2 separate regions of the Mus musculus genome follow, and region 2 is reported to be linked to region 1. The links are microRNA targets in miRTarBase. Many come from high-throughput screens and were not tested one by one. Region 1 holds a microRNA gene; the other region holds the end of a gene's coding sequence.
The links. The annotated mature microRNA mmu-miR-5110 reads GGAGGAGGUAGAGGGUGGUGGAAUU and lies in region 1 at 3,625-3,649, shown strand. An mRNA with a match to its seed (bases 2 to 7 or 8) in the 3' UTR can be bound and repressed. Matches are read on the target gene's strand: a 7mer-m8 pairs with bases 2 to 8, a 7mer-A1 pairs with bases 2 to 7 and ends in A, and an 8mer does both.

Region 1 (6,882 bases):
TGTAGTCAGAATAACTTTGAAGTTCTGGTCCTTTCCACTCTGCCACCCAAGCGCTGGCACTACAGTTAAGTGCCAGGATGGTTTTTACATGTTAGGGATCACACACCAGGCTCTGTTCATGCTAGAATAGCACTCTATCCCAGGAGCTGATTCTCAGTGCACTGCTTTCATGCCCAGATCCCCTTGAGCTACTGGGGCTTAAGGAGACGAATAAATGTGTGTCCTCTAACTCTTGGGACCACAGCTTACATATGCAACAGTTTCAGAGCTCTGTGAGCCCTATGCTTCACAGTGCAGGACAATGAGGACCAGAGGAGAGAAAAGACATGCACAAGGTCACATGGCTTCCCAGTACAAGCAGGTCAAGACCCAGGTTTCAGGATGTCTGGTACAAAGCTCTTTCTGTGCTGAGGTGGTCAGCTAGAACACAGCCAATATAGCTGTGGTGATTATCATGCCAACAGCAAGGAATGCACTCTCCAGCATGGGCCAAGGGAATGATGGTTAACATTTAACATCATGGAAACAACTTCAAAGACACTGCAGCTGGACTCTAATAATGGGGATGAAAATGCTGAGACGAGCAGAAAGCTGCAGGTGGACATCTTCGGCTGGAAATAGCATATGGCCCCAGAGCAGGAGTTCTCAGAAGCCCGAACTGGTCCTTACCATGGGGTCAGGAGATGGGAACTGTCCCACAGTCTGTGGTTCAATGTGCTCTTAAGCTGTGTACCCCTTACTAATGCCACAGGACACGGATGAATGTCTATGCCTGCCATCTAGGGGAGAGTGTGGCTGCCGTGGACAAGGTGGGGGGAGGAGGGGAGAGATGGCGCTTCCTGGGTGGGCTTCTAGAAAGGCCAAGGATGGCAGGAAGGCAGGGATCAGAGCCTTTCTCATAAAAGCCTAGCAATGACATGCACCAATTAATCAAATATAGGGGTAGGAGTGGGGAGACAGGACAGGGAAACTGAATGCAATACTGACGTACAGTCGCCCCTGTGTTCTGCAAGGTATTGGATCCAGGCCCCACTGAAGATACCAAAATGAGTGCTGTGCAAGACCCTTGTATAACACAGTATAGTATGTGCATGTAGCCTATGCATACGCTCCTGCAACTCACACATCTCCATGGCCTCTAATACCTGATACAACATGAATGGCATGTAAACAGTTGTTAAGCTGTATTACTTAGGAAATAATTCTTACAAGTAAAGTCTTTAAAACTTCTATATAGATGCATTTTTCCTGAATATGTCCACCCTCCCACCCATCCATCCACCCACCCATCCATCCATCCACCCACCTACCCACCCTTTCATCTATCTAGATAGGGTCTTTTTATGTACACTGGCTGTCCTGGTACACCCTATGTAAAACAGGTCATTTTCTTTTGAGACGGGATCTTATGTTGAATCCCAGGCTAGCCTTGAGCTCATGACAGTCCTCTTACCTCAGTCTCCTAGTGCCTGACTGCAGGCATGCACTTGAATGCCCATTTTTTTTAAAAAAAAAAATAAATTAGACTCAGAGATAAGACAGTAGTCTTTAGATACTTGGAATTCTCCAAAGTATAGTGGTACATATGTCTATAACCCTAGTACTCAGAAGGTTGAGGCAGGAGAATTGCTAAAAGCTGGAAGCCAGCCTGGTCTATATGTAGCTCTGTGTCAAAACCAAACTAGTGGAGTGTGGTAAGGCACTCCTGTAATTCTGAAACCTTGGTAGGCTTGTGCAGAAGAACTGCTTCAATTTTAGCCTCAGAATAAGAGAAGGGAGCTCAGAGTTTTTAAGAACGCAAAGCAGTGAAAAGAAGTACGATGCGATATTCACCTCGGGACTGCGGAAGAGGTTCCCAAATGACACCAGCATTATCAGAGTCTTGTGTGGAAAAAGGGATTTTGTATCATGTGATAGCAGTTTCATAAAAGGGCCAGCAGTGGTTGGAGTGAGCTTCTTGCTATTGAACACATGAGAAAATTCCTTATAGGGAAAATGGTGAAACATAATTTAAGTTGAAACTGTTAATGTACTAATCTTAAATAGCAGAACTGTTGAACGTTACCAGAGGAGCCTAGCCTAGCGCGTAGTGCCTTACATGCAGTTTAGCAGATAGATGCTGGGTAGAGAAGGAACTGCAGCCTCTTCTATTCATCTCTTCCTTCCATCTCAGAAACCAATGAAGTACAGCTCTAAGAGCAGCCTTGTGATCATGGCCTCTGCAGCTCTAAGAATGGCAGCTGAGATCCTTGTCAAAGTGTACCTCCCACTGGGGCAAGGAGCTGTGGGGCTTTAAATCAGACATTATTCTAGGGAGCAGAGGATAGCAAATATAAAAGGAAAAACCCTAGCCTTGAAGTACTCAGAGAAGAAGAGACACGGGACCCGCCGTGACTAAGAAGGTGGCACCAAAGTGGTGGCACTTAGGGTGACACATGAAGGAGAAGTGAGTGGCATCTGGCAATGGAAGAGAAGGTGAGGTCTAGGGCACAACAAGGGACATCCTAGGAACTGGTGTGAGCAAAGGCACGGGGTACCAAGCAGGGTCGTGGTAAGAACACAGGCTCCATGTCAGGGAGGGCGGAGAATGGAAGCTGCAGAATCCTCGACGTGAGGGTGGAGGCTGCACAGGATCCCAGGAGGCGCTGGGCCACCTTTCCCAGGGGCTTCTTTGCTCTCTGGGAAGCCCACTAACTGAGGTGAGAACAGAGGCTGCATAGTTGGGGCAGGTGAGTCTGTGACACAGAGTGTGTGCCAAGCAGGTGGGCAGGAGCGCAGAGGGCAGCACGGGGATGCTTGAGAGAGGATTAAACGCATGTCCTCACAGAAGGAGGCTGAGGTCCAACAGCAGCAGACAGATGTGGTGGCTTCTGACAGTGTTTGCATCTGGAATCCCCTCCCCCCATAGTGGCTCAAATCAGTAATGTCTCCTAAAGGGAACCCAGATGGAGATGGTGTGTGAAGAGGATTATCTCCTCCCTGTCTATAATTTATTGGTCCTGAATATCAGGTTAGCAAGCTGAAGCAATTAAACATCAGGCCAGCTGTTTCAGGCAATTAGGTAACATTTTTCATTTAGAAGACCACACAACAGAGAAAAGACTACAGAGATAAGACCTGTGTTTTGATTTGCTAAGTCTCTGCTGCAGATAAAACCCAGCTTTTTGGAACCCTTCAGGCAATTACTATTTCAGGCTTGGCAGGAACTGGAGTCTGAAAGTAACTATTGGGCTTCTCTTGGCAAGGCTCAAAGCCACTGTAGCTGTGTGAATGTCCTAGGCAGTGGTAGAAGGGCAGGAGGAACCCAGGAGCCATAGAGCTATTAGGATGGCTGCTGCAGGCCCCATGGCTCAGAGGCGGCCAAACTGGGTCCTCCCACATGTTCTTAGAGAGGGAGTGTGGTCGGACGGTGGAGGCCCAGCCTACTCATGGGGATTCTGTGGCTGCCTGCCTGGCATGTGCTCTCGGCAATGCTGTGGGCCCTGCTTCCCCTCCCAGCCTTAGCTTCTTTTCTTTCAGAAGAAGGCTGAGGAGAATTCTTCTGCCTGAGGTGGGGGTGAGGGGTGTCAGAGGAAACAGGGGTGACTGGCAAGGTGCCAACTGGTACAGGCTTAGTACAAAAGCGGAGGAGGTAGAGGGTGGTGGAATTTGATGTCATCTCTGCCACTACTGGACAGGGCTACGTTGTTCTAGCCACTTGCCCTGAGTGGGCCTCAGTTTCCACAAAATCAAAGTGTGAGGAGCTGGATTCTTAAGGAGCCTTTGAGTTTTGATATTCTCCTATTCTGAGATGCCAAGAGAGATAAATCAGCAGGCTGAAGGCAAGCAAGCTTTTCTTTGAATGGAAAAGGGGGACAGGCTTTATGCTGCCAGCTGACTTCCCCACAGGATTCTGGGGCTGGCCCGGAGCAGGGAGACGGGGGCAGCTCAAGGAGACAGAGGGCTGCGTGCGGTTGCAGGCTGCCCAGCCTTGGAACCTCTCTTGCCTGAACTCTTCCACTTAATTGGGAGCTTGCCTTCCCAGCTGTGTATTTTTATCCTGGGCCCCAGAACCCAAACCCTGAGGTTTGTAGCCAGAGGCCGCTGCTTGTTTTCTCGTTAACCGCCTCAGCTCTGAGGTGCTTCCCAGGAAGTCATCACCCCGATGCAAGGCCTCTCCAGCAAGCAGGCCTCCAGGGAGGATGCTGAGTGAGAGGCACTGGAATCCAAGAGCTGTCCTCCAGCCTCGGAAATAAATCCCCCACACTGTCTGGCCCACACAAATCCCAGTTCAGCCCGGCCTCTCCTGTGGGGTTATTCTGGTAACAAAATGCTTGAGATCAGCAATTCTTTTCTACTCTTACCCACTCCCAGAGAGGAGCCAACTGGGCTATTCCTTAGGCTCCACTTTCTGTGTCTGAAATGTGGTTGAAAACTAATATTCCAGATGTTTCCTCAGATTTTAAGTTGAACCACAGATTAAGCTTCCTATAGGAAGACGGTCTGGCACAGGCTGGGAGGACAGTAAGTCTTCGAGGCTGGGTGTTTAAGCCACTCCACCCTTTGCCAGCTGCCTCGCCTTCAGAAGGTGCTGTAGAGTTTTTTTTCCAACCCCAGTTTCTTCTAGCAAAATAACAGCCTTTCCCTTTCTACCACACAATAACCACTGTGAGCCCAAGGACTGCTTAGTTCAACACTGTGCAGTCTAACGTTGATGGCTTCCTTAGCTGCTGAACCAGTGAGATCAACAAGACCAGAGACGCCAAGTGTCCAGCATCTTAGGGAAATCCATTTCTTTTCCCCAAGTGGTGGGTTCTCAGTGAAGAAGGAAGTCCTTCCTGTGACTATGGAAGTTACAGAAGGGCCAGCACATGAAAGAAAAGATAGTTAAATTTCTTTCTTCCTCCTTTCCTCCTCCTCTTTCTTTCTTTCTTTCCTTTTTTTTTTTTTTTTGTGTGTGTGTGTGTGTTAAGAACAGAGCCCAAGGACTTCTATGTTAAACCAGCTTTCTACCACTGAGTACATCCCCTGGCCCCAATTATTTATTATTTTATTTTGAGACAAGATCTTACAAAGTTGCTCAGTTGGCCTTGAGCTTGCTTGGTAGCCCAGGCTACAAATTCCAACTTGCAAACTTCCTGCCTCAGTCTCCTGAGTACCTGGGATTACAGGCCCATACTGTTACGTCAAGCTTCAGAGAGCCCCTTGACGGTAGTGTTATCTGCCCATGTCAGTGTTGACTCTGCGGCTGTGGCTAGAGCCTATGCTGGCAGTGGAAAAGGCTGATCATGGACTGATATTACACAGGGTGGCAGGAGCGTCTTCATTAGACCAATGGCTTCCTGGCCTTAGGGTCTTCCAAAGAGACTCACACAACCAGACTCGGGCACGGAACCCGGATTCTCGAAGGCTGCCGACACACTGGGCCATTGTTCTTGGACAGCAGCAACTCAGATCAAACTGGTGAGTGGGATTTTCCTTGCATTGGCTACAATACACATGTTTGTTCAAGAAAAAACAGTTGGAGCAAGAAGGCATGAATGTCTGCTGCGAAAGAAAAGCCGGTTTGTGTCAATTACAGTGGCAGATTATTCAGAGTTCATCCTGAAAGTCCAATTACCCCCCAAAGCATGAGCAAGGTCAGTGTCGCTCTGCAGTGCACCAACCACTCCAGCCACTTAGGCACAGATGTAAACTACACAGATCTGCCTGTTGGGAGAGGAGAGCGGCGGCCCACTAGCTTCCTGGCCAGTCTGTGTGGACACCACCATTCTCCTATTCCTGGGAGGATTTATCTGTCCAAAGAGGATCTCTGCAATGTGCAGATCTGGGACTCATCTTATTGCACTGTATCCACTGTTACTGGTGTGTGTGTGTGTGTGTGTGTGTGTGTGTGTGTGTGTGTGAGAGAGAGAGAGAGAGAGAGAGAGAGAGAGAGAGAGAGAACGAACATGAACAGTGGCCTTCAGAAGGACCCACAGCCCATCCTGATGATGAGTGAGGGTGTAAGCTTCAGGAGCAAAAGATCAAAGATCTGTCCCTGTTTTATTTCGAGCAGCACACCCCAAGCCATAGCCATTAGCAGATGAGATGTGAAATGACCTATTTACCTTATACTTGACTGAACTATGGCTAGGAAGCCCTAGGGATCTGCTTACCTCCACCCCCCAGTGCTGGGATTGTAACCGTGTGCTACTATGCCTTCCCTTTCTAATGTGGGAGCTGGAGATTAGCCTAGGGTCTTTGTGTTAGCAAGGCAAGTGATGCCTGAGCCAGGTTCCCAGTCCCCTTTTAGGGAGATTTAAGAGCAGCATTCCCCCATACCTGCTACTTCTTAAAGCAACACAGAAATTATTATACAATAAGTTTCTCAAAACAGTGAACAGCATGTCCTAATATGGACTTCAAAACAAATATGTAATATTTTCACAAGCCAGACAGCTTCAATAGAGATTCTAAGTTTAGACAGTGAAGGATCCATCCATCAACCACAGCAAGATCTAGTCTTTGAGATATGCTATTGTATAGAATCTCTCTCCTCTGCTAGAGTTAGCTGTTAAATTCCCCAGGACAGAGTCAGTATTTTAATCAGAATCTAATCTCTATGTATAATATCTCAAATATGAGGAAAATTTGTATATTTATAAAATAGGAATAAAATAGTTAACATTATTGAGAGTTAAACATTAAAAAAATTAGTTATTTTTATGTGTATGAGTGTTAGTTATTTTTATGTGTATGAGTGTTCTGCCTTCATACCTAGTGTCCTCAGAGGTGGGAAGGGGGGGGGGGTCAGACCTGAGACTGGGGTCCGAGATGGTGGCAAGCCATATGTAAGTGCTGGGAACTGAACCTGTGAGTCTTCAAGAAAAACAAATATTCCTCACAGCTGAGCCATCTCTC
Region 2 (6,882 bases), not on the chromosome of region 1:
GACAAAGACAGACACTACCTCAGAGTAAAAGATTGGAAAATAATTTTCCAAGCAAATGATTCCAAAAAACAAGCTGGAGGACCCATTCTAATATCAAATAAGTTCAACTTTCAACCAAAAGTTATCAAAAGGGATAAGGAAGGACACTTCATACTGGACAAGGGTAAAATCTACCAAGATGAACTGTTAATTCTGAACATTCATCCTCCAAATGGAAGGGCACCCACATTCATAAAAGAATCTTTAATAAAAGCTTAAAGCACACATCGCACCCCACACAATAATAGTGGGAAACTTCAATACCCCACTCTCAGCAATGCTCAGATCATGGAAACAGAAACTAAACAGATACACTGAAACTAACAAGTTATGAACCAAATGGATCTAGCATATATATTAAAATCATGTTCTACAAACATCATGGAAATATTAATGATAATTTTTCTCACTGTGCTTGAAATTAGCATTTTCTTAATGCTTAACTTCAAAGAGTTTTTACTATTTTGAAATTTTTAAAATATACTTATAAAATAATTTCTCTCCTAGAAACACTGATAATCTTTTAAAAGTAAACTTATAATTAGACAATGAACATAGATATATAATGTGTTTTAAGTACTTTCTCAGTATGTCAAGTGGTATCATAAGGGCTTTTGAATATATTTGTTAGTGATTCATTTTTAATATTTTATGCTTTTATTATGCTTAATTCCCAAAGAATATTTATTATGTTTGAAAACAATTTAGTATTCAACATTAGATATAGGATCCTCAGTTATGCATACTATTAAATATTCATTAATGATATTTTTAGGGTATGAAGGGATATGAATACAAAATTTGAACAAAATTTTTAAGTATTATTTGATTCTCCAAATACTCATTAATGTTTGATATATAAAATGCATTTAAATAATAAAAAAAAATTTTGAAAAAAAAAAAAAGAAAATGTTTCTATCCTCCCAGAAATTAGCAGTAGCTGTCTTTTCAAAGTTCCATATTTGGGGTATTGGTACAAGTGCCAAGGAAATGCTTCCTCACCAAACTATTTAGTGAAGTTAAGGCACTTCAACTTATAAAATTCATGTGCAAATATGAGGAAAATAATCCTCTCAAAAATGCCTTCCTACTTCTCCCAGAAGCCAAGATTGCCTAATAAAAATCACAGTACCAGGTGTGTGGGACACCTCCCCTCAAGTTATTGATCAGAGTGTGCTATAGACTCCCCCAAAATAGAGGCTTTTGCCGCTGCTGACCAGAACTTAATAAGACCCTATTGCTAGAGATACCACCTAATTTTGTCCTAAGACATGGAGAAATCTATCTGATAGCAGGAAGCTTCCTCCCTGCTGACTAGCGTTCATAGCACCAGATGATGTGGTGTAGGCTGCTGTCGGTGCAGGAGAGGTGTCAACAGTTTTACTTAGAAGTGAACAATAATGAGCAGGTTCGTAAGATAAGCTCAAAGGGTGATGGTAGCATGAATGTTAATGGGCGTAACCAACAACTTTCTGACTGGGGTTAAGTAAGGCCTGCTCCACAGGAGGAAAAGGCTTGCCTGGCACTATATATCTGGCTAAGAACCACAGTTAGGGAACTCACAGGTATCAAGGGTAAACCTATTATTATTCTGTTAAACAGACATCAAGCGTCTCTAAATTCCCATCTCTATACCTACAGCTCTCAGATATCAGCACAAAAGTTTCTTTGTGTAATGGATGGTGACTAAGGCAGAACCTCACCTTCACTGCTCAACCATAAAGAGACATCAGTATCATCACCACCACTACCACCCCTACAAGGCTCAGGAACCATCACAGAAGAGGGAGCAAGAAGATTTTAAGAGCCAGAGATCAGAAGGGACTAGAGTTCCCGAAAGTGCTCTGAAAATGACAGGACCACTGCACTCATAAACTCATGGCATGTGTGGCTGCTTGTACAAAATAAAGCTGGTAAACATCCTAAGACAGGGAGGGGTAGCTTTTAAAGGATGAGCCCCTGGAATGTCAACCATGCTCCAGTGGATGATCCCACCCCCAGGAATATATGGCCAAAAGATGCAAACTTGGGAGGGGTGAGAAGGGAGGGGTGGGTCTGGGAAGAATAATGAGGAAAATATGATCAAAATGTGTTCTATGAATCTCTCAAAAGTGTCTTCCAAGTTATGGATATGCTTGGGTAATGTTCTAGTTTCACTTCCGTTGCTGTGGCAGAGAGCAACTTAAGGGAAAAAGGGGTTTATTTCAGCTAATACTTTGAGACCATAGTCCATCACTGTGAAGAAGTCAGGGCAAGAACATCCTCTATCTGAGCAGAAAGGAATGAATGCATATGTATACTTGCTCACATTCACCCTGATTGCCACTTAGCTCAGGACCTCTAGTTGGCAATGGTGCTGCCCACAGCAGCCTGGGACTTCCTTCCCCCCATAGACACGCCCACAGGCCAACTCAACAGACAGACATTCTTCCTACGTGATATGCTTCTAGGTTGTCAAGTTGATAAAAATGAAAACTAACCATCATATTTGATATCATATGTTTATGGACTGAGACCAATATTTGGTAGAATTTGACTATTAAATAATCAGAATTCAAATTAAAGATATTACCATAAAAATTGTGCTTATTACATCTTGACTTTTATCAATAAAATTACAGCAAGTTGCTTAATCTCATGATGTAAGTATCCCATCATGCTCTTAAGTTTGTCACTTGGCCTGAATGGCCTAAACTATCTACTAAGTGACCTCTGATCTAGAACACTGACTGCCAGCTTCAGAGGCTTGGCAGGGAAATGTAAACTAGCGAAGCCGGCAGTGGTAGTGGTGAGAAGCACAGGGAGGTGGTGAGTGAAAATGCAGGGAGGACAGCAACAGCCCAGGGATGTAGTGAGCTACAGCCCAGCTTTTCTATCTAAAAGCATTTATACACAAGTCGTTTTGAAACAACCCAAGTAATGTACACTGATACTGGCTATGAGGCACAAATGATGTAGTTATCTACTCTAAATAAGGCTGTAAGAACTGTCTCCATGTAGTCATCCTCTAATACATAAACAGTAGGATTATAAGTGAATACTTACATGCCTTTCTAAATGCTGCGGGGCTCCCTCCTCTTTCATGTAGAGTTTGAGTAGAGAACTGATGACTTAAGTGTAGGGCCACCCTAACCTTAACTGAAGATTCCTAGAACATGGATTTTTGATGAATCCAGTAGAAAATGTGAGCTGGGATGTGCATTGATATACAGTGTTTAAATTCTGAGACTCTTCTTGAGTCATGAGCCAAGGCCACCACTCGTGCATTTTGTGATGTATGTGTATTCCAGACTATTATTATTTGCTTAAAGCAAGTCATCTTCTATGTAATGAACTATAGAACTCTTAGGGTATCAATGAGATCATCTATTGACCATCATTTATATCCCACAGGGTTAGACCCTTGCTCTGTAAAACTTCCTTGAGGTCTTTTTGAAATGGGATTACCAAGTCACCTCTGGAGCATGGCTGCTGGAGCCTTGGCACTGGAGTTTAACTCCTGGCTCTAAGGCTTTTAAGTTATTGTACTTAAAATGCAATAACTCTCTGCTCCTGGCAGGTTACTGGACACCTCTATCTGCAAGAACACGGGAGACGGGAACGGGATTGTTTGTAAGGATTAGAAAACACAGGAAGCATGAAGCCCAGTGCCTGGCACAAAAGCCATACAACGGCTATTTCTGTACTAGTGCTAGAGGAGATACTTATGTAGAGGAAAGACTTGCACACTGTCTCTAGGAGGACATCACTGGGAGGGTGAGAAAGAAGTACAGGATTTAGTTTAGAATATGGCCATTTTTCAGTGACATGCTCTTTCTCCATTTCATTTAATCCAACAGAGTAGGTAAAGATTTCTAAGTCAGATGCAAAACAAAGCTTGAGTTTTATTAATTAGTTCATGAATTGTAGGTATATTGATTTCTGTCCACGAGTGCAGCAAAGCCCTAGCCGTGGGCTCATTTTCATCACTTCTTCATCAGATTTACAGATTGAATACAGAAGGGTGAACTACCAATTAGCAAAAACCTAACTAACATAAGGAATACTACATGCTCACTCCATAGTGGATTTAGATTAAGAAGTAACTTGACCTAATTCTAGCTTTTTACTAATTTACATATATATTCTTGGCATATTCAACTTCTTGGTTTTCTCATTTATCAAAGATGAGAAGTGTGACTTCTAGCAAGGAAGGTTGGTCCCACAAGATGCACTGAAATGGATCCCCACCCAATAAAGATGGTATTGTTACATATGACTATTAACACTAACATAACCAGAGATTTGATTCATTTAACTCTTATGTCCATAAAGTTAGCATTTGTTGTGACAGAAATTTGATAGAATATCCTTTAATTTCCTGGAAAAGCCTATGTTCCATACCCAGGGGCCCATGCGACAGACTCACACAGGCTGGGATGCTCATGCTTCTGACCAACACACACCCAAACTACACAAAACCACAAGCACAGTAAAATCCCTTGAAGCTTTGGTGGGTGGAAAACTACATCAGTCTATAATTTATGCAGAGAAATTTCACTTACATGGTACCTTTTCCAGTCTCAACATCTCATCATAAAATGAGCTCACATTAGCAGTGAAAGGTGCCATTGATGTATTAAGTTTTATTAGCTCACATCTTTGAATCTGCCATTAAAGCAGGTTAATGGCCTGCTCTGGTTTATCATTTCTGTGGCTCACAGCTGGGAACCACATTAGGTTTGCCTCACTTTGCATGGCTCAAAACAGTCCCCCAGACTCTTACTGCTGAGGAAGAGCCACATCACAGTTGTGCTTTCTTGACACGGCCTGCTGCTAAGATGAAACATCTCCACTTGTCTGTACCACTATCAATACGACATTAAGGGGAAAAAGAAGTTTTTATAGGGAAAATATAGACTTGGATAATAGCACTGAATGTTATAATCAAAAAGGCATTTGGAAATATGTTCCAGAAAAACACAAGGAGGAGGAGGAAGAAAAAAAAATCCCACAAAAATGTACCATAAAGTCAGGCTTTATTTTTTATAAAATGTGTAAGTCAACTCCAAACATAGGCAAATCATTTATTTCTTTTCTGTCAGATGAGGTTTAATGTTCTTCATCCCTGTCTAAAGAACAGAAGTAAAAAATAAACCTCTTCCATGAATCTATATGCAACACATTTCTCAGCTTGGTCCAGACTGCAATAAACACCTGAGCACAGCAGCAGTGGTGGTGTGCTGTGCAGCTGCGGGGCTGGAACTTTACAAACCTCTATACTTTCAAACCCCTTGGTTTGGCTCCACAATCCAGATCTTATACATGAGAAAATACAGGTTATCTGGGCTGCCAGAAGAGCCCACTGAACGCATCCTGTAGCGCTCTGTGACAAGCAAGAGAAGAAGTATAGCCGCCAGCAAGATCCTGTGGAGATGCAGCCCGGACGTGGTTTAAATACCTGAAAGAAAACAAAAAGTACACCATTGATTTGAAGACCGTAAGCCAGTGACATTCTGCAAAGCAAGTGTAAAACTGATTCTACATTTGGAAAGGAATTCCAAGATTGAAATGTTCAGGTTCACACACACATATATATGGATTGCCCAACTACTACTAAGTTACAAAGGACAATGAATTCTAAGAATAGTCCTTATAACCTGTACATTTGGATGAAATGTTAAAATATCCACTCTTTCACCATTTCCAGTACTGATTCGTTTTTTTGGAAGCTATTTAGACATCCAGCGAATACTGTCCTTTCCAGCACGCACACTATTATGCTACTAACATTTCTACGAAAGCTTTTTTTGTTGTTGTTTTGTTTTGTTTTGTTTCGGTTTTTCCAGACAAGGTTTCTCTGTGTAGCCCTGGCTGTCCTGGAACTCACTCTGTAGACCAGGCTGGCCTGGAACTCAGAAATCCACCTGTCTCTGCCTCCCAAGTGCTGGGATTAAAGGTGTGCACCACCACTGCCCCACTGCCCGGCTTTACAAAAGCATTTTAAAGCAAAACCTTACATACGGAAAACAAGCACACTCAGGAAGAGAGCACACAGTAGTTCACAGTCACCTCGGTATCCCAGAAGCATACTGTCTCTGTCCTTGCAAGGACAGGAACCTTAGAAAGTACACGTCTAAGAAGTGTGGGACAGAGCCTAAGCTGAGAACAATGACCTGAAGAGTCATAGAGTCCTAAGTACAGAAGGACAAACCCATCTCAAAAGGCAGAACAACAATGTTTCTTCAGTCTCAGCTTTTTTACCAATGAAAAATTAATGCCTTCATAAAAATAGATACAACAGGCCTAAAAACTCAGAGGATCTCAGCCGAGGACTGACTTGTCAGCCAGACAGCTGCACTGCAGGAAAGAATAATTCCAGCCTTGCTTTAATGCCTCTGCAGGAAGCCACACGGGCCCTGGAAACAAAGCTCCTTCGCCCACTTTCAGAATTACAGGTACGATAAATGAATAAATCAGGAAGCAGGACATTTTAATAGCTTGGAACCTTTTCTACTTATTCATTCAAACTTCCTGTGTGTCAAGATCTTAATGCATGAGCAACTTCCTATTTCTAACATAATAACAAGTCAGTTTTTTGTTTGTGCATATGTTTTAATAAGCTTGTATGATTAAGACATGTATGGCAACTTAAGGGACCAAATAGAAGACGCTGTCAAAATGAGACAGGTCAAACTCCTGGAATTGGCTATAATTTATTCACACTGCCACAAATCATGGTCTTAACTCAAATCTTTGCTTTTCTGCCAAGGGGTAAAAGTCAAAGGAGAAAGAAATAAATGTTTATTGAGCAAAAATTTAAAACTATTTGGGTAGTATATTTATAGCATACAAGTTATTTGT

Region 2: miRTarBase lists Mnat1 as a target of mmu-miR-5110. Seed matches in the 3' UTR shown: 7mer-m8 at 5,009-5,015 and 7mer-m8 at 5,006-5,012.

What each region holds. Positions count from the first base shown.
Region 1 is chr11:85,757,442-85,764,323 of GRCm38, reverse strand. It overlaps Mir5110 (microRNA 5110), which reads left to right and starts at 3,622; the gene lies at 3,622-3,708. All of the region lies in intron 22 of Bcas3 (breast carcinoma amplified sequence 3), which reads right to left.
Region 2 is chr12:73,271,011-73,277,892 of GRCm38, reverse strand. It overlaps Mnat1 (menage a trois 1), which reads right to left. Exons shown (of 8, transcript NM_008612.2): 8 at 3,905-5,479. The coding sequence ends at 5,359. It also overlaps a transcript of Trmt5 not described here. Among named protein-coding and RNA genes, the nearest start is that of Trmt5, 12 kb to the left of the region's middle.